Ovis aries: one gene and its partners. The protein of the gene in region 1 interacts with the protein of each later gene in a pairwise test. Links are inferred from orthologs where the notes say so. Each region holds a gene or a part of one and is shown in the gene's direction. Other genes may lie near its edges. The genes, in order: FAM131C, VSNL1, HPCAL4 and NDN.

What was found.
Region 2: the proteins of FAM131C (region 1) and VSNL1 interact in binary tests that used the Homo sapiens proteins (3 or more experiments, as listed by UniProt). The two-hybrid records come from large-scale screens. The link is inferred for Ovis aries from reciprocal best matches to the Homo sapiens genes FAM131C and VSNL1.
Region 3: the proteins of FAM131C (region 1) and HPCAL4 interact in binary tests that used the Homo sapiens proteins (3 or more experiments, as listed by UniProt). The two-hybrid records come from large-scale screens. The link is inferred for Ovis aries from reciprocal best matches to the Homo sapiens genes FAM131C and HPCAL4.
Region 4: the proteins of FAM131C (region 1) and NDN interact in a two-hybrid assay, tested with the Homo sapiens proteins (2 studies listed by BioGRID and IntAct). The link is inferred for Ovis aries from reciprocal best matches to the Homo sapiens genes FAM131C and NDN.

Annotation. Positions count from the first base shown.
Region 1 is NC_056055.1:249,707,955-249,715,880, forward strand, and holds the start of FAM131C (protein FAM131C), read left to right. Parts: upstream 1-2,623; 5' UTR 2,624-2,739; coding exon 2,740-2,761; intron 2,762-7,926.
Region 2 is NC_056056.1:25,655,196-25,663,395, forward strand, and holds the start of VSNL1 (visinin-like protein 1), read left to right. Parts: upstream 1-3,046; 5' UTR 3,047-3,287; intron 3,288-8,200.
Region 3 is NC_056054.1:14,319,490-14,327,684, reverse strand, and holds the start of HPCAL4 (hippocalcin-like protein 4), read left to right. Parts: upstream 1-3,893; 5' UTR 3,894-3,991; coding exon 3,992-4,007; intron 4,008-4,593; coding exon 4,594-4,763; intron 4,764-4,967; coding exon 4,968-5,183; intron 5,184-6,593; coding exon 6,594-6,791; 3' UTR 6,792-8,195. UniProt on the Homo sapiens protein: May be involved in the calcium-dependent regulation of rhodopsin phosphorylation.
Region 4 is NC_056071.1:618,264-625,679, reverse strand, and holds NDN (necdin), read left to right. Parts: upstream 1-3,320; 5' UTR 3,321-3,408; coding exon 3,409-4,386; 3' UTR 4,387-4,950; downstream 4,951-7,416. UniProt on the Homo sapiens protein: Growth suppressor that facilitates the entry of the cell into cell cycle arrest.

The DNA of each region.
Region 1 (7,926 bases):
GCCTGGGGCCAGGCACTCGGCATGGTGGACGTTCATTGTCCACCAGGAGCAGCGGGGCAGGCCACGCGGAGGGGGTGCTGGCTGGACCCCCCCAAACCATGTTGTGAGAGCACAGTCGGCACTCTCCTCTGGCTCCTCCCCCACCAGGAGCCCCCCTCCCCCATGCACGGCTGGGGGCGGGGGGGGGGGGTGGAAGGTCACCAGGCAGATGGGCTCTGGGCTGAGATGGAAAAGGACAGCCTGGCCCCAGGGAAGGACAGCCACACGTCTCGGCGCTCTCGGGGAATCGTCCGCTTCAGCAGAATTCCAAGGACTGGGAAGGTGAATGTGGGTGTGCTGGGGGGGGGGGGGCAGCCCACCCCCCTGAGGCCCAGTCTCAGCCGAGGGCCGGGGCTGGGCTGACAGGCAGCAGGCCTGTGTTCCAGTCCTCACTCGGACGTCAGCTGGCTGTGTGACCTTGGGCAGGCCCCTGCCCCTCTCTGAGTGCCCATCTGGACAAGGAGAGCAGCAGGCAGTGGAGAGCTGACCAGCGTGAATGCTGAGGCCCGGGCTGGCCAGAGCCCCACCCTGGACTGTCTCTGGCTGGGGAGGAAGTGACCTGGGGTGGCACACTGCCCAGCGTCCCCATGGGCCTCTGTCTCAGGCTGAAGGGGTGCCGTGGGCTCCCCAGGCACCCTCAGCTCCCCGTGAGCCTGGCACCCCCACTACCCCCAGAGCGGCCGGGCCGCCAGCGGGGAGCCTCCGTGGCTGTGACCCAGCATCCTGTGTCCGGGTGAGTCACAGTGCTCCCTCCAGCCGGAGCCAGGTGCCCAGTGCTGGGAGGAAGAGAAAGGACCCCGGCTCCCCTCCCTGGGCTGCAGGCGGACGGGCGAGGTCAGAGCTCCCCTCTAGAGCAGGCTTGGTGGGGAGGGGCTGGGGGTTTGAGGCGGGCAGGGCATGGCGGCCTGGAGCAGCCCAGTCCGAGGGCTGCGCTGCGCTCCAGGACCAGCGTGTCTGTCATGGGCATGCTGGCACCTCCTAGGCGCTTTGCATGCGGCCGCTGAACGGAGTGTCCTCAGCATTCCCGCTGCGTGAGGAAATGCCGCACACCTGCGTTCACCATCACTGCTATTTTTAGCTCTAAGCACCTACTACGGCTCAGTCACTTTGCACAGATTATCTCACGGATCCTTACAGCTATCCCGTGAGAGGCTCAGAGAAGGGAAGCAACTTGTTCCAGGTTGCACAGCGGGTGTGAGCTGAGCCCACGTTCTCACCAGCGGTGGACACCCCTGGCCGGGGTCTCTCCCCACCAGGACTTTTCTCCGGAGAAGGCGCCAGGCCTGAGGAAAGAAGGGGCAGCAGCGCCCACCCCAGCAGCCCACCCCACACCGGCAGCCACCAGGCCTGGATCCTGCCCGGCTGGAGGCCCCAAGCCCCACCACACGGCCACCCCAGCCGCCTTCATCCGTCAGCACCCTGCTGGGCGGGCACCAGGGAACCTGGCTTGCTTACTTGTAAAAGGGGCACCGTGCCATCCAGCCTGCCTGGCACACACGGAGGTGTCAGGATGGAGCGAGGCGGAAGGAGGCGAAAGTGAGCGCTCGGTGCCTGAGGGCTGTGCTGGGCCGCTGGCTGGGGCGCTGGGGTGTCTGAGCACGACGGCGTGTGAATGCAGGTGTGTGTGAATGCGAGTGCGTGTGAATGCGGGTGTGAATGCGACTGCGTGTGAATGCGGGTGTGAATGCGAGTGCGTGTGAATGCGGGTGTGTGTGAATGCGAGTGCGTGTGAATGCGGGTGTGTGTGAATGTGTGTGTGAATGCGGGTGCGTGTGAATGTGTGTGTGAATGCGGGTGCGTGTGAATGTGAGTGTGTGTGAATGGGGTGCGTGTGAATGTGCGTGTGAATGCGGGTGTGAATGCGAGTGTGTGTGAATGCGACTGCGCGTGAATGCGAGTGTGTGTGAATGCGGGTGTGTGTGAATGCGAGTGTGTGTGAATGCGAGTGTGTGTGAATGCGGGTGTGTGTGAATGTGTGTGTGAATGCGGGTGTGTGTGAATGCGAGTGTGTGTGAATGCGGGTGTGTGTGAATGCGAGTGTGTGTGAATGTGGGTGTGTGCGGTGGTGAGCGTGTGGGTGAAGCATATGTTCACACGTGCAACTGTGCGTACGTGCACTCACGGGTGGGCATGTGAGAGGGTGAGTGTGAGTGATTAGAGGGGCCCCGGTCACCCGCCCTCAGGCGCCCGAGGGGACCGCAGGCCCTGACCCTGACCTACCTACCGGCTCACCGTCCCCACCGGCTACATCCCCGGCCCTGGCCCATCGACCCCCAGTGGGGGGCTGACGGGCTCGCAGGAGCCCTGGGCAAGGCCCGTGACCCCTCCGTTTCTTCCCTGCAAAGCGGTTCACCGCCGGCCGTGCGCTGCGCCCGGCTGGCCGGATGCTGGAGCCCCCCCGCCCCCGCCGCCCGTCCCTGCCCTTCGCCCCGCGCCGCGGGGTCCCCGCCGCCAGCTTCGCCTCCGCGCTCAGCGCCGCCCCCGCCGCGCGGCCACAGGTGCGCGGGCCGCCGGGGCTCGGCCCCCCCGCGCTGACCGCGGCGAGGCGGTGCCAGGCTAGCGGGCGGCGCGAGCCGGACGCCCGGGCGGCGGCGGGAGCCGCGGGCCCGAGCCCTCCCCGCTCGTCCGCGCCGGCGCCGCGCGTGGGCCCCGCGCCCGCGGAGACATGAGCGCCCGGCGGCCCGGCCCCGTGGCCGCGTGATGGGCTCCTGCGTGTCGCGAGGTGAGGGGGCCCGGGCCGTGCCGGGGGAAGGGGCCCCGCGCCGGGTCGCGCGCAGTCCCTCGGCCGCTCCGAGGAGCCTGGGCGGGGGCGGGGGGACCCACCCGCCCTTCCCGGCGGCTGCACCCCACCGGCGCCCTGGGAGACGCGGGGCCCCGCCTGCATCTGCACCCCAGCAGGCGGCGGGAGCCGGGTCTCTCCCTTCCCGGCGGCCGCACACCCCTGCCTGGGGCGGGGGACACGGAGCGTCTGGCGCCCCCGGCCTCTCCGGAGTGACTCGGGGCACTCGCGGCGCAAGCCGACCCTCGTTCCCACGACCCCCCCCCCCCGCCCGAGACACAGGGCCCACCGCTGTCCGCGTACCCCACTCCCTGTCTTCAGACTGAACACCCGCGGCAGGCGTTAGCGGGAGGAACAGGGTCTAAAGAAGACCCCGGCCCCTCCTGCCGGCGCCTCACCCCGCCAGCCTGGTGCGGGGACAGGCGGGGACAGGCGGCCGGCCCGGGAAGCCGCGGCCTGTGTCTCCGCCCGGCTCTCTGCTGCCTGCTGGTGCCTGACCCCTGGCTGTCCCCGGGGTGGAGCAGGGAGCCCCGGGAGCCGCTCTGGGGGGCGGTGGGGTGGGCAGGGAAGGGGTGGGCAGGTGTTGGAGGCTGCGCCGGGTCCCTTCACCCCGCAGCGGGAGCAGCAGGGCTGAGGTGAGGGCGGACAGACCCTGGCTCCCACTCTGCGGTATGAAGCCAAACCCACTGACCCCAGGCACAGCCTTGGGGGGCCACCGCCGCATCCTGCACCCCAGCCCTTCCTCAGGTGTGGAGGGGTAACCAGGCCTGGGTAGGGGCTAGGCAGGCTCCAGGGGACCCGCCCTGGGAGATGAGGGTTGGGGGGGGGGGTAAAGGGCTCTGCCTGGGGGCTCTGCTCACCAGGCCCCCAGGGTTCAGGTAAGTGGCTCAGGATGTCTCAGGAGGGTGGGATCGTGCGTGGGGGCTGGGCTGTGTGAGGTTCTTTCATTCATTCATGAAGCTGACGTCAGCCTGACCCCTACTGTGTGCCAGCCACTGTGTACACACTGCGTGCCTAGAGCCGGTGAGCCCAGCATAGGGTCTGCTCTGGGCCTCCAGCCTGGCCAGAGGGGAAGGTACTATGTAGAGTGGAGAGTACCTAAGTTTCTTTAGAGCCAGCAGGCTCTTGGTGTGTCTGCAGAAGCCCGGAAGGCTGTGCAGGCCCCTGGTATTGGGGTCCCGGGGTCCCCTTTCCTTTGGCCCTCCTGCGCACCCGGCCGTCCTGTGCCAGGCGCCAGAGGCCCGGCCCCAGGAGACTTGCCCGTTAGCCACAGACCAGGGCGGTGCTGTCAGGGCTGGGGCAGGGGCTCGGGTCCTCTGACGCCCCCGTAGCTGGTGGACCCTCTGCCGTGCCCTCTGGGGGCACCCGGAGGTCTGCGCCCTTCCTGCTGTGGTTTGGGCTCCTCGTTGTATATCCTGACCTTGTGCCCTCCTGACGGGGTCTGCCCACTCCCAGTGCCAACATGCCCGCAGGCAAGTTGGATGCAGGTACAGGAAGCGTGAGCTCCCCTTGAGCCGAGGACACCCATCGTCCCATTGCTCTGGCTCGGGGGGTCTGAACCCCTGAGTGGAGGCCACCTGCCCCCCTAGCTGTCCCTGCTCCTCCCAGAGTGCGCGCGGCTCACCAGGGGCTGGTGGGAACGTTCCAGGCTCCACTCGCCAGTCTGGGGTCTGTACTAGCACAGCCCGCATTTTACAGGCAGGGAAACAGTCTGGGGCTGCGTGGTTAAGAAAGAGCAGAAGCGAGCCTTGGACGCGGTCATGCTGGCTTCGGCACCCGTGCCCTTGTTCTCTGTGCCACACAGCCGGCCGTTGGACCCAGGGCTGGCCTGGCCTGCTCCTTCCAGCCCCCGGCCTCTGGATTCCAAGAGCCTCTGAGTCTCCACGTGCTGAGTCACTCAGTCGTGTCTGACTCTGTGCAACCCTATGGGCTGTAGCCCTCCAGGCTCCTCTGTCCACGGGATTCTCCAGGCACGAACACTGGAGTGAGCAGCCATGCCCTCCTCCAACCCAGGAATTGAACCTGCGTCTCTTAATGTCTCCTGCATTGGCAGGCGGGCTCTTTACCACTGGCGCCACCTGGGACGCCCGGGAGCCTCCACAGCAGCCCCCGCACTCCACGTGCCAAACTTGCAGCCCGAAGCCGGGCGAAGCCGCATCCTTCTGCTGCCCACAGCCACCCAGGGCCTGCAGGCGACTGCAGCCGCCCAGCCAAAGCCCAGGCTTCGGGCCACAGCTGGGAGAGCCACCCCACCCAGCCCTGGGCAGCAGTTAGCCCCCTCGAGCCAGCCCTGAGAGGGTAGGAGTGCGAACTCTGGAGCCGGCCGGCCTGCTCTGCCCCCGCGGCAAGTTACTTAACCCTGTGCATGTATCTCAGTGTTCTCATCTCTAAAATGGGAATGGCACTTCCATGGATGTCTTAGGGGTACTGGAAGTGAAAGTGATAGTCGCTCCGTCGTGTCCAGCTCTTTGCGACCTCATGGACTGTAGCCCGCCAGGCTCTCCAGTCTATGGAATTCTCCAGGCAAGAACACTGGAGTGGGTTGCCATTCCCTTCTCCAGTGACCTTCCCAACCCAGGGATCGAACCCAGGTCTCCTGCATTACAGGAGGCTTCTTTACCAGCTGAACCACCAGGGATACTAGGAGGGGATTAAATGACTTCCTATAGAGCACTCAGACCACTACCTGGCATGTAGCAAGCCCTTTAAGTGTTAGCTGGCACTTTAGTTTTTAATTTTTGTTAGTATCCTTCTGTGCAGAAGCTAATCCAGACCCTCTTGGCTGGGAAAGGGGAAGCTACAGGGGCTTTGAGCACCATCCAGCCTTGCAGGAAAAGACACACTGAGGGGTTGAGGACGTGGGGAAAGTGATTGGGCCCAGATGGAGGCACCAAATGCCTTTCCTCAGAGCTGCTTCGTGTTGTCTTGAGTGCTTATCCTGAGCTGGCTGAGGCATCACTCTCCTGACCTTGTTAGACCCCATTCAACCCCGGAAGGGGGGCGTAGGGCTCAGAGATGGGTAGGGTCTTGGCTGAGGTCACACAGGCAGGACCCAGAGAGGTAGGATATGAATCCAGGACTGCCTGATCTTGGAGCCTGAGCACAGAACGCCTGCCTGTTGCTTTCTCGGGACCCCACTGGTGCCGGGGTCCAGCCCCGGTGGATCCAGGGTGATTTGAAGGTGGGGTCGGAGTCGGCGTCCTTGGAAAAAACTTATTTAATTACAGATAGAGAGGGATTAGAAAATTAGCAGAGAAAAAGAGGCCGAATAACTTGGTTTATATGGAATACCAATCACCACCTACGTAGGCCGCAGGCGTCTTCCCGTTCTCCCGAAGGAGAGGAGGCACTGAGGCCCACCTGGTCTGATCTTAGAAGCCCAGACAAAATTAGCAGGCTTTGTGGGTACCCATACACCAGATGGAAATTCGGCCGGAAAATAGTAGGAGAGAAAAAGAGGCTGAATAACTCGGTTTACGTGGGATACCAATAAAATTCAAGACAAGGAATTTGCACCATCTACATTGGGCCACCGGTGCCACTTGAATATCGGAAGGTGCCCCTCCTTGGGCTCCTTCTCGCGTGGGCTTGAAAACCGGGGCAAATGAGTAGACTTGGCGAGCACCCACGCTCCAGATGGGAATTTAGCCAGAAAAACGGGGAGCAGAAAAGAACAACATGGGGGAATCAGTCTTTCCAGGAACTGATCCAATTTCTTTATTTTGGGGTTTGCTTATATACCTTTTGTTACACATAGGGATGAATACAGATTCACACAGGGGTCAGCAGTCCTGACCTTTATCAAAATCAGGTGCTTCACATAAATGTATAAAAAAAAGTCTGAGGGGTTTTACATCATCTTCTGGCCATGAGACCTGCAGATGTTTTATGACCCTTTCTTTCTGATAACCAAAAAACTTATTTTTTCCAAGGGTGTTTTTTCTTAAACCAGGCACCACCCTCCAAATAAAGTTGCATTCCTATAGGGTGAGGGTGTAGCGAGTTATAATCAAGAAAGGAATTTATTTAACCCAAGGTTAACATGCTTAATCTTAAAGGTTAATACTTATTTCTCCTATATGCTTAAAGGTTAATACTTATTTCTCCTATATGCTGGTTATATTCATTATAAGGGTAGGGAATATGGAGATTTAGCAGCAAACATCAGCCCAACATATGAAAATCCTTTCACCAATGTTCCCCTTAAGATCTATTTAGTCTTAAGATAGTGATAAAGTTACATTTTTACACAGCAAGGACACAGTGATTTATAACAAAGTACAGTGATCTATTACAAAAGAGAAAATTCACTAGCTCAAAAAGTCTAGTATTGCTAACATCAAACTACTATATTTCCTTTTCTATATTCCAAATACATTGATTAACATATTCCCAGGTGCCTAAGGATATGGAGGCCTGGAGGCAATCATTGACTCAACAATGAGAAAAGCCCTATGCTAATTAAGACTCTCAAAATACTCCAAAACTCTCTGTGCTGTTTATGGTTGAGAGGTAGTAAACAGTCATGAGGCAGGAGTATGGATAATCCTGTCACACAAGCTAGTCTGCCAGCATAGAGGTTTGACCTGAGACACCCTTATCCCACCCAGAGCAGGGAATTAGCAGCAATTATTGGGACAACAAATGAAAAACCCTTCACCAATATAATTCCTAACCAACCCACTATACTGACAATTTCCCAAAAGAATTTGCCTTTAGTAAGTCTAAAACATCTCGTGCCTCTCAGGTTGGGAGGCTGTAAACAATCACATGTGGCCGGACGAACCTATACAGGTGGGCTAGATAACCTTCAGAGGAGTCCCTAAGCTGAAACACTCTTGTCACGCCCAGGAATTTTTATTGCCTTGGAGCTGCACGTTTACTCCTTCTCCGAGAGAAACGGTTATGGGGAACAGCCCCCCATAAAGTCAGAGGTGTAGGTGAGAGCATAAAACAGACTCTGGCTGTGGGGTTAGATGCTCGGGAACAGGGGTTTCCTGAGGCTTGATCACGCCTTTGCGTGTGCCAAGCCTCCTTCCTCATGACCTTTGCCGTGGGTGGAGTTCCTCACGCTGGCCCCCAGCACACTAGGAGAGGGGTGCTGAGCA
Region 2 (8,200 bases), on another chromosome or scaffold:
TACCATCCTATAGAAATGAATTGCTTTTTGTAATTTAAATGATCATATTCCTTCGATGTTTTCAGAATCATCTTTCCTATGTGACTACATGTGACTTAGTGTTACATATATAAAAGGCATCACACAAAACATTTTAACAACAAACACTAAAAAGATAAAGGTGCACAATAACTGAGGATTAAAAAATATATCGCCAAACAACGCCTCAGTGCAAACAACCAACAAAATCTGCTTGCCCCATGAGACAAAGCAGCTTCACAAAAGCGCACGCTTCTAAATCAAATCTCCCCTACAAGAGAACACGGTTTAAAGTCTCAGTGTTCACTTTACCCGACACACAAGTTGCCAGTAAGTCATCTAAAACCTAACACAGCCACGAAAGAGACCTCCAGGGGAAATGAATAGGTACATCTCTCCGAAGAAATGGCATCATGACCCCTTCGGCTGATGCAGATTGCAGTGCGGAGACTGCTCTCGAGAGAGAAATCAGAGAGCACAGCGTAAAATGCTTGAGTAGAGAAATGGACAAAAGACGAGGAATAACTTTGAAAGCTTTTGGATGTTGTGTCCCTGGCCAACAAAAGCGACTTATCTGGAAGTGACTTTTGCCCCCACCCCATCCGGAGAAAGAATCGACCGGGCGAGCCTCGCTGCGCAGTGCGCATTGCGTCCCCGGAGCGCAGGGCTGGCGCCCGCCAGATCCACAACCTGCTCGGCTGCCGCAGCGCGCCGGGGCAGCGCTCCCTGCTCCGCGCTAATCCACGCTCCGGGTTTCCGCGGTCTCCGCCGCCGCGCGGAAGAGCCCCGCGGGGAGGGCGCTACGGCAAGGCTAGTTCAGGGAGTCCCGGGAGCGCTCCTCTGCTCTGTGCCGCCTTTCCAGGGCTTCCCGCCCAGCGGAGCGCGTTCCTGAGTTCTGGGCTGGCCAGGTTGGCTTTGAGCTTGAGGCAGCGGCTTAGGTGTCACCAGCTGGGGCCCTCACCCACCACTGGCCTTCCAAAACCAGAGACTTGAGTTTCTCTTGATCTTTGCTTAAGTAGCCTCAAGGTCTTCCAAGCTGGGCGCCCCCTACTAGCAGTCAGCAGTAGGCACCCTCCTAGCAATGGAGATTTGTCTATCTCCAGCTCTTTTGCCCAAAGAGATACTCTTAGTGTCCTCAGATCAGAAAGGTTAACTGCAGGTTAAAAAAAAAAAAAAAAAAAAAAGTTGCTGTACCGCCAAGTGAATCAGCTTCCTGGATGTGATAAGGTGTTTGAAGGCACTTTGCAAGTTGTAAAATTCTCTGCTTAAAAAGAAAGTCCATCAACACTGGGTAACAAAGAGTATCTTTGTTACCCCATGGACTGTAGCCCGCCAGGCTTCTCTGTCCATGGAATCTTGCCAGCAGGAGTACTGCAATGGGTTGCCATTTCCTCCTCCCGGGGATCTTCCCCACCCAGGGATCACACCTGCGTCTGTTGCAACGGCAGGTGGGTTCTTTACTACTGAGCCATTTAGGAAGCCCCCATCTTCACTGCCCCTGCAGAATGTCCCTCTTTTGAAAACTCCCATCTGAATGAAAACCTCAAGAGGGATTTTGTTCGCTGCCTTTACCACCAAGGCATTGAAAAATGCCTCAAGTCAGTGGGCAGGTGGTCAATGAATAATTGTTGAATAAGCAAAAGTACCAGAGAAGGCAATGGCAACCCACTCCTGTACTTTTGCTTGGAAAATCCCATGGAGGGAGGAGCCTGGTAGGCTGCAATCCATGGGGTCTCTAGGAGTCGGACACAATTGAGCAACTTCACTTTCACTTTTCACTTTCATGCATTGGAAAAGGAAATGGCAATCCACTCCAGTATTATCGCCTAGAGAATCCCAGGGACAGGGGAGCCTGGTGGGCTGCCATCTATGGGGTTGCACAGAGTTGGACACGACTGAAGCGACTTAGTAGCAGCAGCAACAGCAGCAAGCAAAAGTACAAACAACACACTTTAGGAAATTAATTGGGTTGAGAACATTTGAGACTTCACCTTGCATGTCTGGTAGAGAAACGACCAAACATTTACTGGGCACTACTCCTTGCCAAGCCTTCTAGGCTTTGGCTAGGACAGTCAGGATCCGGGGAGGGCTGGCAAATGTACGTGTCCTTCAAAGACACAAAAGGGGGCTTTATAAAATGGCTTAGTCCAATCCCTCAACCCTGGATTCCCATGAGGGCTCACTGACTGCCCTTCACTGCCCACTACAACCCCACCCAAATCATATTCAATAAAATGTATTTAGTGCACAAAGAAGGCACTTATTGGTAAATGCTGGTTGATGATTAGCATGATTGGCCCAAGGTCACCCAGGATCAGGATGAGAGCTTCAGCAGCCCCTCCCTTCAACACACAGCTTCTCCAAGGCCATTGGGAACCACGACCATCTGAGTAGAAGGCTTTTAGAATGCCTGGCTCCCAGTGCTCTCAGTATAAGACCCGCGGAAGAAATGGCCCACACAAAGTGCCAACCATAAGGGTTTTCTTCAGAGTGAGCCATGGAGACAAGCTCACAGCTTGCTGGGCACGTTTCCTTCGGAGCAAGAGATTTCTGCAGTTTTCTCCTTCACCTTACAAGCCTGACAAAGAGTGGGCCGGGGGCCCTCCAGGCCTGAGGGTGGCGGGAAGCAGGCTCCACGTGTCCCACTTCTGGCCTCAGCCTTCACCACCAGACTTGGCTGGTTAAACGCGGGGGCGTGGTGAGGCCAACTCGCTCAGCCAGTCCAGGTGAAGGGCTGCGCCAGTGGCCAGGCTCCCTTTTCCTATCTACTTTCCTTCCGAGTTTCTGCTAAAATCTGGAGACACGGAATCCACTCGCGGCAACTCCGAGCCTCTCCAACTGAGCATGCGCCAATGCCTGGCTGCTTTTGGTCACCGGCCCCAGCTCCCTCTGAGCTGGGCTGCGGAGCCAGAGGAGGAGGGAGGAGGGAGGCGGGAGGAGGGGAAAGGGGAGGGGGTGCCTGGAGAGGCGGCGGCTCGCGCGCCTGCGCATCCTGCTCCAGGGACCCTAGGTTTTCTATGGGATTCCCAATCTGCAGCAGAGACCTACCGGAGCGTGTTGCGGCGGCGACTGGGCTTGCAAGGCGCGATCCAGGAGGGATTTAAGCAGCCCAGAGCTCCACTGGAAAAAAAAAAAAGAGAGAGCAAGAGAACCATACCCAGAGACGGCTTAACCGTTCATCCGAATTAAATATATATACATACATTTATTTATAGAGAACTGTTGAGTTTTATCATTTTCGTTAAGTGACCGTGAGCAGCGCTATAACTGTAAGTGGAAAATACAATCTTCGTTGCATTTGTGCATGTGTAGTGCAGCCAATTGTCTGGGAGACGCTTTGGTTATTGTCACCTACTTGGCTTTGCATAGATACGTCTAAATGCATGGTGTGACAATAGCTTTGGTTAATGCTAAACGTATACTGTTAGCCCATGGGGGACCTTTTGGAATAATGAGGGGTGGGGGGAGGGGGAGTGTTTACAGGCGGCGTGTTTGGGGAATTGCCTTAGGCTAGATTTAAGACAGGTGAAACTGAGGTGCTTTTTAAGTGTGTCTATATACAGGCAGATTTCCTTACACAGATTTAAGTAGCTAATGGACCGATTGTGAAGTTTTCCGGTTGCTGATAAAACTATTGAGCGGTTGCAGTCAAGTACCAACCTGTCATCCGTGGGGCTGGTGCACCATCTTTCTCACCGTGGAAGAGGAGCGAACGTGTTTGTTAAGTAAAACTGAGTGGACGAGATGATGTGGAGACCAAGATTGGTTTCCAAAGTGGGATGTTTAGAACCACAGGGCTAGGCGCAAAATCAGCTCATTTCTCTGTTAGTGTTTAGAAATGAGAAGATAATTTTTCGGTTTTGATTTTCCGTCACGATGGTGAATGGGCAGAAAAAGGAAAGATGTTCAACCACCCGGTCAGCTCTGTCTATTTTGAACAGAGTATGAGACTCAGAGCCTTTGAATGGGGACTGACAGATCCAAACTAGTTACCTGCCTTTGCATGCTGTATTTGCATTCCAGAATGCAGGGTTGAAAAAATAAAAAACCAAATGTTTTACCTTTGATAGTGTTTCTTTAAAGGAGAACAGGTCGTTCTGTGTTTTGAGTTAAAATGGATTGTTCCTTGCCCAGATACTGAAGAAGGGTCTTTGCAAGGTCAAACCCTCTGTGGAAATCAGGGGGTCTGGGGAACTGGGGAAGGGTGCAGGAAATGGTGATGCTCTCTGTGGGTGCTCAGCACTGCAAGGAGATACCAGAGTGAGAATACATTTTTCTAGAGTTGCCCTCCTGTCCATATTTTGGAGATCAAAATGAAGTGGAAATGCTAGTGGGTGTAGAAAAAAAGTGTATACTATCTGTCACATCTCACTTGGAGACAAGAGGACCCAGGGAAACTGTATTTCTACATATTGAATTTTTCAATTTAAAGGAATTTCACATTGAAAAAATTAAAAATGAAACTCTTGAGAAGACACATTTTTTTCCTTACTACCGTTTAAACTGGCTATTGTTGTCTTTGGTGGAGGTGGCCGGGTTGGGGGCAGGGGGTGCGCAGAGGGGGTGGTTGTGGTATAGAGGGGTCCTGCATCATTGAACACCCCACTCTTGAGCACAGGCTTATTAAGCTTCCGTGTTTAACCCCAGAAATTGCTGCTCTGAAGCAGGCTGGCAGAATGGCATGAGGCAGGTAGACAGGAGAGAGCATGGCCAGTGTGCTGAATTTCCACAGAAAAAGCAGATCCAGTTTCTATGATGAAATGAAATACATTTTACTCCAAATAGGACAAGTCATTTTAGACTCTTGACCCTTTAGTCAGTTCAACTATTTGGAACCTTTCAAAGGAATCTACGTTTTTTTTTAAAGTGGATGAAATTTGAAGTAGAAAATTCTAGAATATCCTCTCCTTGGAAACCTAAAGTGTAAATCATACTGCCTTCTCGGTCCCTCCTTTCTTTACTCCAGGGCAGAAGGGCCAGTCGTTTGTCCTAACTGAGCCATACTCCTTGTCATCAGTGAAAGTTGGAACAGCTCTCTGAACGGTGCAGGTGCAACACTGCATTGATAAATGAGTGGAGGAGAAAGAAGGGGGAAACCTGGTGTGAAAGCTCATAGATGTTTTCTCCCAGATACCCTGGTTCATAAGGCTGAGTTACAGAGAATCGCATCGGGCAGAGACCTTCGAAAACATCTAGTCCAAATCCCTTGTTTTATAGATGAGAAAATTGAGGCCCAGGGCCATGAAGCCAGGGGAAAGTCAATTAACTTTGAGTCTATGGAATAAAGAATTAAAGAGTAATGTTGAGGGAAAATGTTCCTTTCTCTCTGCACTTATAGCATCCTCAGTGACATCGCTGAGGTCTTAAAAAAATAATTGCCTGCTCCCAGCACATCTTTCAAAAGAGTCCCGCAGGTTCCTTTTTACACTGCTGCACCTCTCTTTGCCTTTCTTTTTTCGTAAGGCCTCTATCTCTTTTTTCTGTTGCCCCTCACTTCTAATATACCCACTTCATTAGATGTTTAGTCTGGCCTTCCTGGCATCTCAGTCAGTTCCTTTGGAATCCTTCGAGTGTTTGGAGAGAACTGACAAACCAATTGGAATCTTCAGCTCCCGTTTGAAAACTGTCCAGGCCCATCGCCAACCCCTCTCTGCTCTGTTCCCCTAGAACGTTTCAGGGAATCCAGCCTTCTGAGACACTGCAGGCATCTCCCCTTCTGGTCTACCTGTCTCACCTCCTTCAGCTCTGCTGCGGCTGCAGGCACTGGGACCTAGCAGAGTGAGGAAGTTGCAGTGTCAACACACAGCAGGCGCTGCCAGCTCACCTCTGGCTCCTAGAAGGCAGAACCCAAATCCAAGATGCCTAGCTGTCTCCAGCCTTCATGGAAATCCACCAGGCAAAGCCACCTGCAGAGAGAGGGACTGAAGGCTGGGCGGGAAGACTGAAGGAAGACACCTGACTGTTCCTTCCTGAAGAAGGCGCTATAAAGGAGAGCAGAGCAGCTTTTTAAAGCCTTCAGCGCTTTTAAAGCGCAGTCTTGCTGGACAGGGACTGCAAAGCAGGCAATAATAATACCTGCCTAATTTGCCCTCTTCTTTCCTTCTTTTTAAATCTCTTTTCCACTCATTTGCTTTCTCTATTTCTCCCTCATATTCTCCCTTCCATACAAATTTCTTGAGTATCTGTGCCATGAAGCTCTAGGCCTTTTAAAGATAATTCAGTCACCCCTGTCCCTTCTCCCCAGGCACTCAGGAACTATCACAAATGTCCCCTTTGGGGAAATGCCAGGAATTCTTACCTGAAAAAGCTGAGAAGTTGGGGGAGGCTTGAGAAAGACAAAGTCTGAGACTCTTCCTCATTTGAGAGATAAGCTAAATACACTTGGCAAGTGTTGAAGCTCAGAAAGCAAAGTAGTGTGTTTCTCAACACATTTCCCAATTAACAGTTTAACTTAACCATTTCCCTCATGGTAAACTTTTGCTGAGTTGGGATGAGCTCTGTCTTGGAGAGAGTCTGTCCCTCACACATCCTCGTGGGTCAACTGTCACCTGGCCTTGCTATTCTGTTCTGAAAACAGGCATGTCCAAGCTATTCTATACACCACATACCTTGTACAGAGGTCAGAGACTTGTAGCTACTAAAGATGCTTTGCTTTGCTGTGGTGTGAATCTCATTCTGTAAAAAGACAGCATGATTAGAAATGTCCTGAGCAAGCTATAGATTTTTCTATGTCTTTTTTTCAAGCAAACATCCAGTTCTCTTTATTGGGATGTAAATAAATCTCGTAGCACTACAAGTCATATGAGAGGTTTACAGTGGTCCTTAGTACTCTATGTAGGAGGGTTTTAAATAAGACAGCTATCGATAATTAAAAGCGGATTAGTTCAATCAAGTTACAGTGTCATCCTTCAGGTTAAAGTGCTCTGACATTAACTACTGTGGCAGCAAACAGGATCCTGAGAAGGAATCCCAGGGCCAATCGTCTTGCCTCTTAACTTCGAAACAAGAACGAACACAGTTCGTGTAATAACCGTTCTCTCCTCAAGCCCTGCCCACCCCCTTGGCCTGTGACATTCTCTCCTGAGGAGAGATGTCAGGATTTGATGAGATTCTGTCTCAACTGGGACAAAGAAAAAAGAGTAATATGGAAAACATTCTAATATCGGGTTACTAACAAATTAAAGTAAACAGATTACCTGATGACTCTGTTTAGTTGCTGATTCATGCCCGACTCTTTGTGACCCTGTGGACTGTACCCACCAGGACCCTCTGTCCATGGGATTCTGTGGGCAAGAATACTGGAGTGGGTAGGTTTTCTATTTGGGTTGCATGTATATATGGATTCCAAACCTTGCTGAGGAGCTCCCTGTGGAATTTCATAGAATGACAGTATAATATCAATATCAAATGCATGGTTTCCTAGTTTGCAAGAGCAAACTATGTTTAATGTCATTCCAAAGGTCTTTTTCTTTGTGTTGAATGATTTTTATGTTTCTACGATTAGCAATTATTTAGGAAGATAGAAAGGCTCTTCTCATAGAGGTGATCACATGCCGTTGATCTAAGGTTGAAATTGACAATGTCCATCTCAGTTGCATTATTAGATGTAAATATATTAATTTTCTAAAGTATCAAATGGCACAGAAATAAGTGAACAAATGGTTGATATTTCTACCATGTTGGTGGTTAATTCAGATAATTTATAGAGTATGTGAACTGGATGGGATCCAAATAAGTTACCTAATCCATCCCTTCAATACATAAAAATTGTAGTATAGTAAGGAACATTTTCCTGGAGGAGGGAATGGCAAACCACTCCAGTATTCTTGCCTGGAGAATCCCATGGACAGAGGAGCCTGGCAGGCTACGGTTCATAGGGTCACAAGGAGTCAGACACAACTGAAGCGACTGAGCAAGGAACATTTTATCTTAAAGACATATCTGCAATGTGAAAACACATTTCACAAGAGCAGAGATTTTAATGATCTTTTTCATATTTCCACAAAATCTATACAATGTCCTTTATAATAGATACTCTGTTGTATTTCTCAATTAACTATTCTAATAAGAATCAGTTACATATATCTTGTTAATTATGTCAAGAAATTAAATCATGTGTACTAAAAGCATGGCTTCCCTCATAGCTCATTTGGTAAATCATCTGCCTGCAATGTAGGAGACC
Region 3 (8,195 bases), on another chromosome or scaffold:
AAAGAAGCCTCTGAGCCCAGAGGCACAGTGTCTTCATGCATGGGGAAGTGCCAGCTTCTTCAGAGCTGGAGGCAGCCCTCAAGAGGAGCCTGCCTACGTTCAGCTAGGCCACAGCTCCAACAGAACATGCCCCCGCGGGTTCTGGCCTTCTTCATGCTGATGGACTCCACTTGACCTTGGGTGAACTCTTCCTTTCCTCAGATCTAGGTTCTATTGTGTCTAAGTGGGTGCAATGGCAGGAGAACACAGATAAAACAGCCTGATGCTGTTCCAAGGAGAAAGAAGGGGGCTCTGCCCCTTGAATATAATCCTCAAAGGGACATTCATTGAACATCTCTGGGTTCCAGAGTAGGTCTCTGCAGGGCACTTCTGTCCTGCCAGAGAGGGCAGAATGGGAACCTGTGTGGGCAGCTACAAGAGAGAAAATGGGAGTGAGGGAAGATGACTTTTCTCACTGTCCGAGCTGCTCCCAAGCAGACAGGGTTATATTGGGAGAGGATAAGCTCTCTACCATGGAGCAAAATGTCTGGAGAAATGTTTCTGGTCCAGACAAGAGTGTAATGCAAAACTCTTCCCCAAATCAGGCTCCATTCTGGAATTCCAGAGCACCAGGTGAGGGTCTGAGAGCTCTGGAGTCTACGCACCTGTCAGGGTCAACTCTGTGGCCTCAGAGGGTCTACTCATGCCCAGAATGCTAAGTCTAGGCTGCTGACTGTCCACTCTCCAGTCTGGGAGAGGCTGATCATAAGGAAGTGGGCTTTAGTCAGCCCTGAAGGCTGATTGTGGCTGCATCAGCCCAGAAGAGAAGGAAGGATTATGAACAACAATTGAAGTAGGTTCTGACTGAAGTATGTAGTTGTGAGGGGAGTAGTGGGAGGTAACGCTAGACAGTTGACTCGAGACATGAGATTCTAGAGGGTTCTGGAGTTTGAGGGGATCCATGGGTATGGCAACCCTTACCCTATATTGTCAGTTCAGTTCAGTCGCTCAGTCGTGTCCGACTCTTTACAACCCCATGAATCGCAGCACGCCAGGCCTCCCTGTCCATCACCAACTCCCGGAGTTCACTCAGATTCACGTCCATCGAGTCAGTGATGCCATCCAGCCATCTCATCCTCGGTCGTCCCCTTCTCCTCCTGTCCCCAATCCCTCCCAGCATCAGAGTCTTTTCCAGTGAGTCAACTCTTCGCATGAGGCGGCCAAAGTACTGGAGTTTCAGCTTTAGCATCATTCCTTCCAAAGAAATCCCAGGGCTGATCTCTTTCAGAATGGACTGGTTTGATCTCCTTGCAGTCCAAGGGACTCTCAAGAGTCTTACCCTATATTGTACCTCTGGGCAAAACTAGAAAAGACATTCTGTTGAACAGAGGAATCACAAGGAAAGCCCTGGCAAGCAGTGCCTCAGCTGGGTTTCAGCCCCTTTGGCTGTGCCCCTGGCCCTGACTATGCAGTGGCGAGGTGGGGGGGTCGTGGGGAGAGGATGTGGTGTACATTCCAGGAGCACTTGAAAAGAAGGAACAATAGGCCTTAGTAGCAAGTGGGACCCAGGGAAAAGGAAGAGGGGAAACTAAATGCAACTATGGTTGTATTCCCTCCCTGATCCCAGGGAGGGAAGGAAGGATGATGGAGAGAGAAGGACCATCACAGATTGAGGGTGAATCTGGCTGTAGCTGTGCTGAGTCAGAGGCTCTGGTGGTCCACCCCAAGGGTGGATATTTCCTGGGTATCAGATAGTGTGACCTGGAGCCAGCAAAATGGTCCCATTGAGGCCAAGAGGCAGATCAGAGCCATAGATTTTCTGTCTGTAGTGGACAAGAGGTGATTCAGAGAGGGCGGGTGGCAGGATTCAGTCCAGGCAGGTGGCATGGATTCAGCCTGGGTGTAACTCTGAGCCAGTTTTCTCCTCTCTCTGGGTTCCAGTTTTTCACTAACGTAAGGGGATGATCTTAAAAGCTTTGGCCTGCTGACCTAAGAGTGGTAGAAGGAATGAAGAGAGATAAAGCCTCCTTCATAGTCCCTGGTGGGCCAGGAATCAAATGGGGACTGAGAACAGGTATGGCCAGGAGACAGAAAATGGTGGGAAGGCAGCACAGAGCGGGGGAGAGAAAAGGGGCAGAAGGTGAGAGCCACATAGACTCCATCACACACACACACACACACACACACACACACACACACACACACACACACACGTGTGTGTGCCTTCTGGCAGATTTGCAGTCTTATACCCTGACGTGCTCCCACCCACTCCTACCGCTTACACAGACACTTGGGCACATCTCACAGGAGACAGAGGGAGAGGCTCTGCCTCCCCCACCAGACACCACTACCTCTGTGCTCTCGAACTTTCTTGACCGTACCTGAGCCTTCAGTGTGCTTTGGAGGAGGGGGCAGCTGAGGATGCAGCCCGCCTCCTTCTGCCCATGTGTGTTTCAGTTGTGCTTTTGATTCCGGTCCCAGGACAGCTGTGTGGGACCCCCTGGTTCCAAGTTCCTGAAGATGGCGCACCTCCCCCTCCCTGGCTTCCCCTGGGAGCATGTAGGATTCATCATCCTCTGGGGGTGGGAGGCAGGCAAGGATGTTGCTGCCTCCACTGCTCCTTGATCTTCTTCATGGCCCTGGGGAGGGTCTGAGATCCAGAGGTATTCTGTAACTCAGGACTCCCCAACCTCTGGGATCTGATGCCTGATGGTCTGAGGTGGAGCTGACATAGTAATGATAGAAATGAAGTGCACAATAAATGCAATGTGCTTGAATCATCCTGAAACCATCCCCCCACCCTGTGGTCTGTGGAAAAATTGTCTTCCATGAAACAGGTCCTAGGTGCCAAAAAGGCTGGAGATCGTTGCTTGAAGTCATGAAGCAAGGAGAGAGGGCAGGGAACTGACCAAACTCAGACCTGGCTGTCTAGGGTATTCCCAGCAGTAAGGATTAGAAGCCACACAGGCATGCACTGGGCTGTGGAAGTGGAATTCCTTCTGCCAGCCTGCGGGTGTCCTTTTCCAGAGTGTCTTCATGACAGGCTACCCTGCAGCTGGGGTCTGGCACTCTTCCAAAGAGACTCTGGGTGGGTCAGATTCACCTCCCAGGTCATGTCCTGGGGAAGTCAGGCTCTAGCAGGACATTCCCCCCATGGAGGTCTGATAAGAATGTCAACTCAGCCTTCAGGGCCTGCCAGGGGCCTCACTCCAGCCAGGCTTCCTGGGGAGAGTTTGTACCTCCCTCTGCAAGAACTTCCTCAGGCACAAGATACTTGAGGGGCTCATGGTCCCACTGGGGCCTGACTCTTCACCCTCCCCAAACCTGCGTCTCAGAAATACCACCTCTATCCTTTCTATCCATTCAGCCCCGGTTCTGAGCATTGGCTGCAGTCCTCTGTCACTCTCAGCCCCGCATGCATTCAGTCCCCAGGTCCTGCCAGTGCCTCCTCCTAGCATCTCTCAGTCCGTCCACATCCCTCTACCACCCCACCCTGTTGTCATCACCTCCCACCTGAACGCTGCAGCAGAGCTGCCCCTCCTCTCCCGACCCAGGTCATCTCGTACACTGTAGCCAAGGAAAAATCTGAAAAACACGTTCCTTCTCTCTGGGTCCCCAGCACCATATTGTAAACAACCTATAAGTATTTGTGTAATGAATTTGGTCTTTCCAGCCTTTGCTTTAAAACCACAGGAGCTTCTGTGCCCCACGCCAGACTCCTTGGTGTGGATTTAAGGTGCTTTACAATCAGCCTCTTTGATCGAGTTATGAGTTAGTGAAGTCTGGCTCGTGTTGACTTTATCCCTATCATCAGCACAGGGCCTGGCTCATGGTCAGCCTCAATAAATGCTCAGGGAATGAATGAACTAATGAAAAGGAGAATACAGTCAGGGTCATCAGGGTTACCAGCTAGGATTTCTGTTTGTACAGAGGAAGAAGGGAGAGAAGCTTCTTGCTCAGGTGGCCTGGAAGGTCTTGAGGAAGGACTTGGGAGACAGCGCCAGGGGAACACATGAGGAACCTGCCAGGTAGGAGAGGAGCTTGTAGCGGTGGGTAGAGGCTGAGTGCAGAGAGCTCTCAAGAGCAAGGAGAGGATTACGACTATTCTATGGGTGTAGGGAGCTATGGAAGGTGTAAAGAGGAGAGGAGAGAATGAAGACTGGGATTTGCAAACTGGTCAGTGAGAATGAGGAGAGTTGAGCCCTGGGAGGCTAGAGACCCTGGTTGCCAGGGGAGGAAAACTGCTGTGAGCAGAGAGGAGAGGCCTGCTTGGAGAGGAGGCCCTGTAATCGGGATGTAATAAGGGGAAAGCCCCCACTTTGTGTTGGGGGAAAGAGGGGAGCAGAGGAGAGGCAGGAGCTTCTATGGGAAGGAGTGTGGTGGAATGACAGAACCCATCTGTAGGAGGTGGGGTGTCCACCATGGAGGTGAGAAGAGGACCCCTCCCCCCGCCCCGCTGTGGAAGGATGGGGTCCTGGCTGTGGGAATGTGGAGTTTGTTAGAGGAAGGGGCTGTGGTGGAGAAAGGGAACCCCGTCCTAGAGAGACTTGGCGGAAGGCTGCTGAGGTGACGGCCTTGCCCTGGACCAAAATGAGGGAGCCCTCTGTCCTCCAGGCCCTGCCATGGGGAAGACTAACAGCAAGCTGGCCCCAGAGGTGCTGGAAGATCTGGTTCAAAACACCGAGTTCAGTGAGCAGGAGCTGAAGCAGTGGTACAAGGGCTTCCTGAAGGACTGCCCCAGCGGCATCCTCAACCTGGAGGAGTTCCAGCAGCTCTACATCAAGGTAGGCGGAGCCCAGCACTCCGGGGGCGGGCTGGAAGACAGGGGGCGGGGCAAGACACTCTAGGGGGCGGGCCAGACGAGCGGGGGCGGGGCCAGACACTCTGGAGGGCGGGCCGGATGAGCGGGGGCGGGGCCAGGCAGCCAAGGGGTGGGCCGCGAGCGCGGAGCTGTCGCTGCGCCCCAGCCCCGCGTGTCCCCGCCTCAGTTCTTCCCCTACGGTGACGCCTCCAAGTTCGCGCAGCACGCTTTCCGCACCTTCGACAAGAACGGCGACGGCACCATCGACTTCCGGGAGTTCATTTGCGCCCTTTCGGTCACCTCCCGCGGTAGCTTCGAGCAGAAACTCAATTGGGCCTTTGAAATGTACGACCTGGACGGTGACGGGCGCATCACGCGTCTCGAGATGCTGGAGATCATTGAGGTGGGTTGGGAAGACACGCTTCCTGTCTTCGCTGCGAGGGCCGTTCTCCAGCCACCCTCCCCGCTCAGGCCTCGAGAGCCCACCACTCCCCTCCTCCCTCCTGCCTCCTCCCAGGATCCAGCGGCTAGCCTTGATTGGGTGTTCAGAGTAGGACCGGTCTTGTGCTAAGTACTTTACCCGACAAGTCTAGGCGGTACTGTTAGAAACCCCATTTTACGGTTGAGGAAATGTATCAGGTGACTGGTTCTTGATCCCAAATCTAAGGAGTCTGACTCCAGAGTCCCAAATTCTTAACTCAGTGTTCTTTCAACAAATGTATATTCTTTCAACAAGAGTCCAAGTTCTTAACTCATATTCTTTCAACAGAGACTGCCACCTGCCAGTCTCTGTTTAAAATTCTTGCTTTCATAGGACATTCCTTCTGGCAAGAAAATTAAACAAAACAAAGCCTATGCTATGTCAGGCAGTAAGTATTACAAAGAAGATAAGCAAAGCAAAGTAAGAGGAGAGGGCATTGAAGGAAAAGTGATTTTGTGTAAGGTGAGATGTGAGGAGTAACCTGGAAGAAGTAAGGGAGCTAACTGCATAGGTGTCAGGGGGAGGATCTCTGCATGTTGCTGCTGCTGCTGCTGCTGCTGCTGCTGCTGCTGCTGCTGCTAAGTCGCTTCAGTTGTGTCCAACTCTGTGTGACCCCATATGGGGAAGAATAAATGCAAAGACCCCACTAGACTGTGTTTCCAGTGTTCAAGGAGTGGCCAGGAGCCCAGGGTGGTGGGACAGAAGTAAGCAAGGGGATAGTGGTAGGAAGAAGTCAGATAGGTAGTCAGGAGACTGTTTCTTAGCATCATCATTTGGGATAGAGACTTGACTTTCTTCTAAGTGAGATGCGAAGCCCTTAAGGGCTCCCTCTATTCTCTGTGTGGAGAACAGACTGAGCGGGTGGGAGGTCAGCAAAAGTAGGGAGAGACCAGTTGCGAGGCTTCCACAGCAGTCCGGTCACAGGGGGATGGAGGCGACAGGTGTGGAGCAATGGAAGTAGCAGGCAGCAGCTCGTTATTGGGCCTGTTCAGAATTAGGGCTGACAAGATTTGCTGTAAGATTAGACATGGGTGTGAGAAGAGGAGGGTCGAGAATGGTGTCGAGGCTTTTGGTCTGAACATCTAGAAGAATGAATTTGCTGTTCACTGAGACAGGGCCCGCTGGGGCAGAAGCAGGTTGGAGGTGAAGAGCTGGGTAGTAGACACATCTGGTGTGAGATGCTGAGTAAATAGCCAGTCTTAATGACTGTACATCACCTTCCAGTATCCTCACACGACCCCTTGTTCTCCATGCCACGCCCGGGTCCCTTCATTCACCTCCAGTCCCCTGTCCCTGTGGTGAGTGTTCACACCTCCCTCCTTGCCCCAACAGGCTATTTACAAGATGGTGGGCACTGTGATCATGATGCGCATGAACCAGGATGGGCTCACGCCCCAGCAGCGTGTGGACAAGATCTTCAAGAAGATGGATCAAGATAAGGACGACCAGATTACACTGGAGGAGTTCAAGGAGGCGGCCAAGAGTGACCCATCTATTGTGCTGCTGCTGCAGTGCGACATGCAGAAGTAGAGGCTGGTGAGGGGCAGGGCCCCTGGCCAGGAAGGGCGTGGCCACCTCCCAACCCAGTGACCTCTCTGGCTGGCCCTTCCTTAGGGGGAGGGGGACTCCAGCCTCACTCTCTGGCCCACCCACCCCTCTGCCCAAGCCCTTGCTCTCCTCAGTCAAGATCCTTAAGGGACCACCTCACCCTGGAATAGAGAAGATCCTCAGGTATTTAATGGCCTAGCCTCAGCCCCAGTCTTGGCCCAGAACCAACATCTGCTGGGCATAGGGGAGCTGGTTTTTGCCCCAAGGTACAGGGTGAAGGGAGGAGGGCTGGGTTCTGCTTTGAAATTCTGTTCTGGGATTGTGCTTTATAGGATGTGGTCCTACAGACCCCAGTTAAAGGGCCAAATTGGGTCTGTCCTTCACTGAGGACCCAGAACCCTTAAGGGTGGTCTGTGCCCTGCCCCCACAAATCTACCTGGCCCCTCTGGCCCCAGCCTTTGGAGTGTTCACTCAGTACTTTCTTCAACTAACATTTATTGAGCACCTATTCAAGGCCAGGCACCCCTAGGTGCTAAGGCTATGGTAGTTTACAAGACACATTCTGGCCCTCTGGCAGCTCACAGGGTAGTGGTCAGGGTCTCAGACAGGGACACTGAGCTCAGGTGAGGAGAGGATACAGTAAGGCTGGTTAGTTTGAGAGGAACAGTTAAATCTTTCTGCTCAGCTCCACACAGAGCTGCAGAAGGGATGAAACGGAAAGTATTTGGAAATCTAGGAACCACAGTGGGGATTTTAAGAAAAATTGAAATTGAGGTAATACTTATTTTTTAATACCCTTTAAAAGGACTAAACTCATTTTATTAGTTGAGGATATTAAAACATACTTTATATGACTTGGTTTCTTGTAAAACGATTAAATGAATATAGAAAGTGCTAATTTTCAGGGGGTAAAAAAGAGCTGAGAAAAAAAAAAAAGAGGAAAATATCACCCAACTTACCAGATGACACGTTTTTTTATCAGGCTAAATCCTTAACTGTCACTGTCAGCAGCTTCTGCTGCTTCCTTTTAAATGATCTTTTTTTCAATTCAGTGAGCAACTCTCTACTGTGCACTTAATGCTGATTAGGAGCTGACTTCAGTAACAGAGAACATAAGGCTTGCCAAGAGTGAGACAAGTGTAGTTCCCACATCTGGATTTGGTCTAGTTTAAGGATGGGCTCTGTTCTTTCACTGCTCCAGAAGCAGAAGGAGCTAGAAGAAGACCAGCCGGCCACTGTTTAGGCTGCCAGGCTGCGTTTATGGATTAAATGCCTAAAAATGTGCCGGGCATGCTCCATCTGAAAGGCTTTTTCTAACTCCCAATCCTGAATCTGCCAGGTAGTTTGTCATCTTCCAAGTATACTGGCTTTGCTTTTCAGTGTCTG
Region 4 (7,416 bases), on another chromosome or scaffold:
GCTCCAAGGGTAAGCAACACTAGGGGTTTACCATGTACTTGGTTTCAAATTTGGCATCAGTTCCAAATCTTTAAACCTTCTGAGTATAATCCCTCATAGTGGTTCTAGTCCGCAGACTCTGGGATAGTATTAAACAACCCACCCAATAGAAGAGAGATGTGGAGTGAGCTGTGGCAGGTGTGTCTTCCACTCATCATGGGAAAAGTCACCAAAATGAAGACCAGTCTGGCTCAAGCAGCACAAGCAATTCTCTTGGTCAAAGATCTGTTATGCCACAGAAAAAGAAGCTTTTATAATTTTAAAATTGTTGTGCTTTTATATTTGTTTATATAATTGCTTTCCTACTTTTTCTATGTAAGTGTTAACTGTTGTGCTCAAGTATGAAATTTAATTTCATCAATCCATTAAATCTAGGAGGGTGAAATATGAAGATGGAATTTTATTAATCACAATAGCAAAAAGTATGGTCCATGGCCAAAGCTGAGCTGAGATTTAAATAACAAGCTCAAATGTTTTCATTATTAAAAATAACTTAAATGAATGCAATCACTAAACCAACCAAACAGAAACAAATAAGTATACAAATGAATTAAAAAAGAAGAAAATTAGTGGAAATAAACTGCAAGAAATGAGGATTATTTTAAGAAGAATGGGGGCAATCAATCAATTTAAGCCATTCTTACATAATAATAATTGAAAACACTAATATAGCTAATACTACTCTGTAAGGAATATTTAAAAAATAGAAACCTATAAATTAAAGAGAAGAAAATGATGAACAAGAAAAATTGCAGTTGAGATATATCTAAATGAGCTGTAGGAATTATCCTTGTGAAATAAAAGATTAAGGGGTGTTATTGGACTGAGGTCAAATTGGTCCTCCTAAAAGTGATACAAGCATGAAAATCCAAAGATAAAAACAGCTAAGGGAAAAACCCTTTGAAGTCAATCTACTTGAGTAAAGTGAGAAATGAGAAAAGGGTACAAGCAATTTTTAAGGACTCTCCACACTGTTTTCCATAGTGGTTGTACTAGTTTGCATTCCCACCAACAGTGTAGGAGGGTTCCCTTTTCTCCACACCCTCTCCAGCCTTTATTGCTTGCAGATTTTTGGATCGCAGACATTCTGACTGGTGTGAAGTGGTACCTGCCATATGACCCAGCAGTCCCACTGCTGGGCATACACACCAAGGAAACCAGAATTGAAAGAGACACATGTACTCCAATGTTCATCGCAGCATTGTTTATAATAGCCAGGACATGGAAACAACCTAGATGTCCATCAGCAGATGAATGGATAAGAACGCTATGGTACATATACACTATGGAGTATTCTCGGCTGTTAAAAAGAATACATTTGAATCCGTTCTGATGAGATGGATAAAACTGGAGCCGATTATACAGAGTGAAGTAAGCCAGAAAGAAAAAAAACCAATACAGTATACTAACACATATATATGGAATTTAGAAAGATGGCAATGATGACCTTGTATGCAAGACAGCAAAAAAGACATAGATGTGTATAGCCGACTTTTGGACTCAGAGGGAGAGGGAGAGGGTGGGATGATTTGGGAGAATGGCATTGAAACATGTATACTATCATGTAAGAATCGAATCACCAGTCTATGTCCGATGCAGGATACAGCATGCTTGGGGTTGGTGCATGGGGATGACCCAGGGGGATGTTGTGGGGAGGGAGGTGGGAGGGAGGTTCATGTTTGGGTTCGCATGTACACCCATGGTAGATTCATATCAATGTATGGCAAAACCAATACAGTATTGTAAAGTAAAATAAAGTAAAAATAAAAATTAAAAAAAAGAAAAGGGTACAAGCTAATAAAGAGAGGATTCTAGAAATGTCAAAACAATATTGTAATATGAGTTAGGTTTCGAGTGACAATAGCCAGACTCACTGAGGGCATATGTAAGAAGCTGCCAGTTTGAGGAAACCCAGGAATGGCTGAAAGACCACAATGGCTTATACAAGGCATGTTGATTAGCTGCAGGAACATTGGATCCAGAGGTTTCTGTGCCCAATTTTTTTTTTTAAAGGATGCACCTCTGGGACTGTCAACTTTGTTTTTGTTGACAGTCTCAAACAAAACTGCAGATTTGGTTTCTAAATTTGAAAACTGATATACAACCACCAATTGTTACATCTCAAATCAATTGTTATCTGGGAAAATTTTGGGGATCTAGGTTAATTTAAAAAAGAAAAAAAAAGTATCTTGGGAGGGATTTGCATGTGATACTATTCAGTATCTGTGGAAGATGGGGATGTTGTGCTCTAAGAAGGTGAAGTTTCCACAGGAAGAAAAGCGGAGGTTGAAACAGTCATAAAGAAAAGGAAGGTCCTGGAAAAACAGGCGGAAAGACATCCTATGAGTCTATGCTAATATAATCTTTGTGTGAGGGGATTCTAATGAAACAAAATTTACATCAAAATTATCCAATGGAATAGAAAAACCAAAATCAATGACCATTAAAACACTAACAAAGTCATTATTATATTGCCTTCAAGAGAACTTCGATCACACTCGGATTGACAACATTCTGCATTTCTTGTTCAAAACTCTTCCATACGGTAGGAAATCAATGAATTTTTGTTGTTATTCTTCAGAATTCCAATTTGTCCAATTAGTTCTCCTGGTGGCTCAGAGGGTAAACTGTCTGTCTGCACCGCGGGAGACCTGGGTTCAATCCCCTGGAGAAGGAAATGTCAACTCACTCCAATATTTTTGCCTGGAAAAGCCCATGGACATAGGAGCCTGGTAGGCTACGCCCATGGGATCGCAAAGAGTCGGACATGACTAAGCGACTTCTCTTTTTCAGAGTTGACATATTTTCTTGGGCAATCCTGGCTGTTCTCTCAGTTTAAATTCTCACACTGATCTGAAACCTAGTTGACACACCAGCCTAGTTCTTACTCTTGGATTGATCTCTAACTTGATTTTGGATATACCTAATCAAATGCTTCCTAAGAAAGTTCAGTTTCAGCATTTCAGAAGCTTAAATTGCCATCTGTCCCTTAAACTGACTCCTTGTCCAGTGCTCACCCATCTCCCTCCCCTCCTCCTCAAGAACTCCTCCTTAGCCATAACAGGATACCTGGGGAGGGGGTGTGATCACTGAGGCCCATATTCTAGCGGACCCTCTATGCTTACTGGGGGCCTCCTAGCCCCCTCCTGCAGCCCACCAGGAGCCCCGCCCGCCAACTCGACTGCCGGGCCCCAGGCGCGCGGACGCGCAGGCGCATTGGCCCGGCCCGCCGCCGCCCCGCCCTGCCTGGCCTCTGCGGAAGGCGCCGCGCGCAGCAATGCGCACTTCCTCTCCAGGAGTCCGCGGAGGGAAAGCAGACTCGAAGAGCTCTCGGACTCGGCGGCCCTGCTCTTGCGAGACCGAACAGATATGTCCGAACAAAGTAAGGATGTGTGCGACCCCAACTTTGCGGCCGAGGCCTCCAACTCCGAGGTGCACGGCAGCCCCGGCATTACCGGGGGGCCCTCTCCTCCGGGGTCTCAGGCCGCGACACTCACTGAGCCAGAGCGCCCTCCCTTAAGCCCGCCTGATGCCCCTCTGGTCTCGCTGCCTTCCCAGGCTCCAGGCGAAGAGGGAGACCCGAAGGCCCTGCAGCAGGCCGCTGACGAAGGCCGTCCCCACCAGGCCCCGAGCACAAGTCAGCTCAGCCCGGCGCCCCCGGCCCCGGCCCAGCTGGTGCAGAAGGCACACGAGCTCATGTGGTACGTGCTGGTCAAGGACCAGAAGAGGATGATCATCTGGTTCCCAGACATGGTGAAGGATGTCATCGGCAGTTACAAGAAGTGGTGCAGAAGCATCCTTCGGCGCACCAGCCTCATCCTCGCACGCGTGTTCGGGCTGCACCTGAGGCTGACCAGCCTGCACACCATGGAGTTTTCGCTGGTCAAAGCTCTGGAGCCAGAGGAGTTGGACAGGGTCGCTCTGAGCAACCGCATGCCGATGACGGGCCTCCTGCTGATGATCCTGAGCCTCATTTACGTGAAGGGTCGCGGCGCTCGAGAGAGTGCAGTCTGGAACGTGCTGCGCATCTTGGGGCTGAGGCCTTGGAAGAAACACTCCACCTTCGGAGACGTGAGAAAGCTTATCACCGAGGAGTTCGTCCAGCAGAACTACCTGAAGTACCAGCGCGTCCCCCATGTCGAGCCCCCTGAGTACGAGTTCTTCTGGGGCTCCCGTGCCAGCCGCGAAATCACCAAGATGCAGATCATGGAGTTCCTGGCCAGGGTCTTTAAGAAAAACCCCCAGGCCTGGCCTTCCCGCTACAGGGAGGCTCTGGAAGAGGCTAGAGCCCTGCGGGAGGCCCACCCCACTGCCCACTGCCCCCGCAACAGTGTCTCCGAGGACTAGCAAGGTCTGGAGGCAGATGGAAGTTTTCTGCCCCTCACCAGGGTGGAGGAAGGGTGGGAGTGTGGGACGTTAGAGTATTCAGGATCTACAGTGCAGTATTTCACGTGTAACTTTTAAGTTTTCCATACAGTGCTTTTATACCTCTTAATGCAATGTTGTGTTCATTTCAGTAATATTAGTGTATAGGATTCATGCATGGTTGTTTGTAATTAAGCTCAGTTGGTGCTTTCGCTTTTGTGCTACCTTTCTTGAATTTTTTGTACCAGAGACATGCTAAACTTATGAAATACACTGAGGCATTTTCCATATTCTTTTACGTGTGACGGAGGCTGTGTATTGGGGTAAATTGGTCTTGCAGAGTTTGGAAAAACTCCCCAGAAAAGCTGGCCTAACCAAGAGAAAAGTTGACCCCTGTCTTTGTGCTCTGCCTGGGCACGGGAAACATCCCTGTGGAGTTTGGTGATGTGAACTGAAACAGACTCAATGTGGGCACACTTTACTAAACACAGATACAACCTCACCATGAGTAAACTTTAAACATTAAAGATTCTTGTGATACAGTCATTCATGGAAAAAGTGTACTTTATCTTCTTAACAGAATATTATGGGTTTGGAATGGGAATTACAAAGTATACAGATATAACTATTTCATCTAATAGGACGGGGATGTCAGTACTCATCATGACTCATAAATATGTAAAGGGCATAGTTTTATTTTCAGGAAGGAATTCACAAGTTCATATCAAAGCTTTGACAAGTAGAAGTGCAAAAACCAAAACAGGGGTCATAATCACATTATATAGAAATAACAAATGCTGATATTTAGAGTAATTGCCCCTCTTACATTTTCCATATTTTCTAAAAAATAATAGCTGTCTTTTGTGGGCACTAAGAGAGGCCTTGTACTAAACCCTTACATATATTTTCTCTCTTTAATCCTCACAATAGCCTTGTGAAGCAGGCACCGTGGAGGAAATACAGAAATAAAGCAGATAATTAGCTTTCCCTGGATCATAAAGGCTTCCTGGGAGGAGAGGCTTAGTTTTAGGGTTTGGACCCAGACTGAATGAGCCCAGAGGCCGAACTTATACTCACCTGCCTCCAGCTGCCCTCCTGACTCCTGCCTTTTAGATTGTGCCTTTAAAAAGTTCCATGTTAGCATCTTTAGTTTTCATGTTATAGCCTGTACTTGTAGCTCCCTACTCTCAACACACACACACAGCTAAAGATTATTACTAATGAATCCTAAACATTCATCTTTTAGGGGAATTAAGTCATATTCTGTACAAGTCAAGGAACTTCATTTCAGAGAGGTTAATGGATCTAACCAAGTCCTGTTCCTACTTAGCAGTGAACCCAAGATTTGAAGCTTGGTCTTTTCTGAAGGACTGTGCTGATGGAGCTGACTGCCCAGTGGTCTGGAGGAACATACATGGGACACCTTGGAGAGGGATGTGGGGTTGGGGTGGGAAGGTCGCCTATTAGGGTGTCTCCAAAATTGCCATGGGCCACTAAGCAACCACTCAGAAGGTGGGATGGGGTCAGGGAGGGGCAGTGTCTGAGGATAAATCTCATTAGGGAGCTCAAAGCTGCAAGGGGGAGAAAGAGAAATAGGATTTAATAAGACCAAAAATCCTTCAAACATCAGAACATTGAAAAAGATCATTTCGTTAAAGCCAAACCCTTTTCTGGGGAAGATGGAAAATGAGGGGAATGCATAGGTGACATTACCCCCAAAAGAAGTAATCTGAGAGTTGTATTTGTGTGAGAGAATTACTATCTGAATTGGAGACTAGGATTCCCAGCGCTTAAAGAACATTACTTAACAGGCAGGTGCTGGTGCTAAAGTGCTGAAGAAGCCTCCCATGTCCTGAGAGGAAGTTTATCCCTTTTAGTAGATGTCCTGTGAGGTCTCCTGTGGGGAGTAGTGGGCATTTCTGCAATAACTTAGGCAAGTGTGCCCTGGCTTTGATGCCACCTCTTAACTGAGCCAAAGCTAATTCAGACATTTTAAAACTTAAAAAAAAAAATTACCTCCATCTCAACCCAAAACTTCCTGCAGAAACAAAACAAATCTGCCCCTTTAAATGTAAGTCTCCCCAGCCAAGCTGGGGTGCTGGACACTTTGTCTAATGCCCTAATTCAGCTTGAAACAACTGTTTAACTCCTGAGCACTTCTTTCATCAAACCCAGAAGTCACCAGCCACGCAGTCCTTTTACTTCCCAGTGTTTGTATTTGCTTTCTTTTCTGCCAGGAAAGACTGGCAGAACCACCCCAGAGCTTCTCCCAAGCTCCCTGACACAGGCACATCACCGGTGCTGTAGAGGACCAAATCTTGAGCGAAGGACAGGATCATGAGAAATGAGAAGCTGACCCCAGCAAGCTGACCCCATGTGGGCAGAGCTTCTCAGTTCCTATGCAGGCTTGGAGACAGCCAGACCCTGAGAGAGAGGCTTCCCAGATGCAGGACAGAGCTAATTCATGACACCAGGTCCTGCATGGAGAGTAGCTTGGGGCACAGGGAAGGGACATCCAGTATCTCTTTTGGATTTTCATGCTGGGCTCAACTGAAAGTTGAGGGGTTGGTCATGTATTTTCCAGAAGGTTTATCTACAAGGTGCTGCGAGAGCTCTTTCGGAATGGAGTCTGCAGACCCTGGATGTTTCAGCCGAGATGACAGTGCGGTGAAGCCCAGACTGCTGCTGCTGGGAAAGAGTTTCTAATTCCCGGTAACATCTGATGCTTTATCAGTCTGTTTTGCCAACAAGAACCTCACTTCTTTATAGACACCCACAGGTATATTTCCCTATAATTAACTTCATTTAATTAAAGTCATGGAGGGCAAAAAGGACCTGTGTAAACTGAATGTAATTAGCTTCCATTAAAATAGTATGTATGACAAAACCAATACAATATTGTAAAGTAATTAACTGATTAAAATAAATAAATTTATATTTAAAAAAATAATAAAATAAATAATATAAAAATAAAATTATTTTAAAAATAAAGGCTTTACATAAAAAATGTAA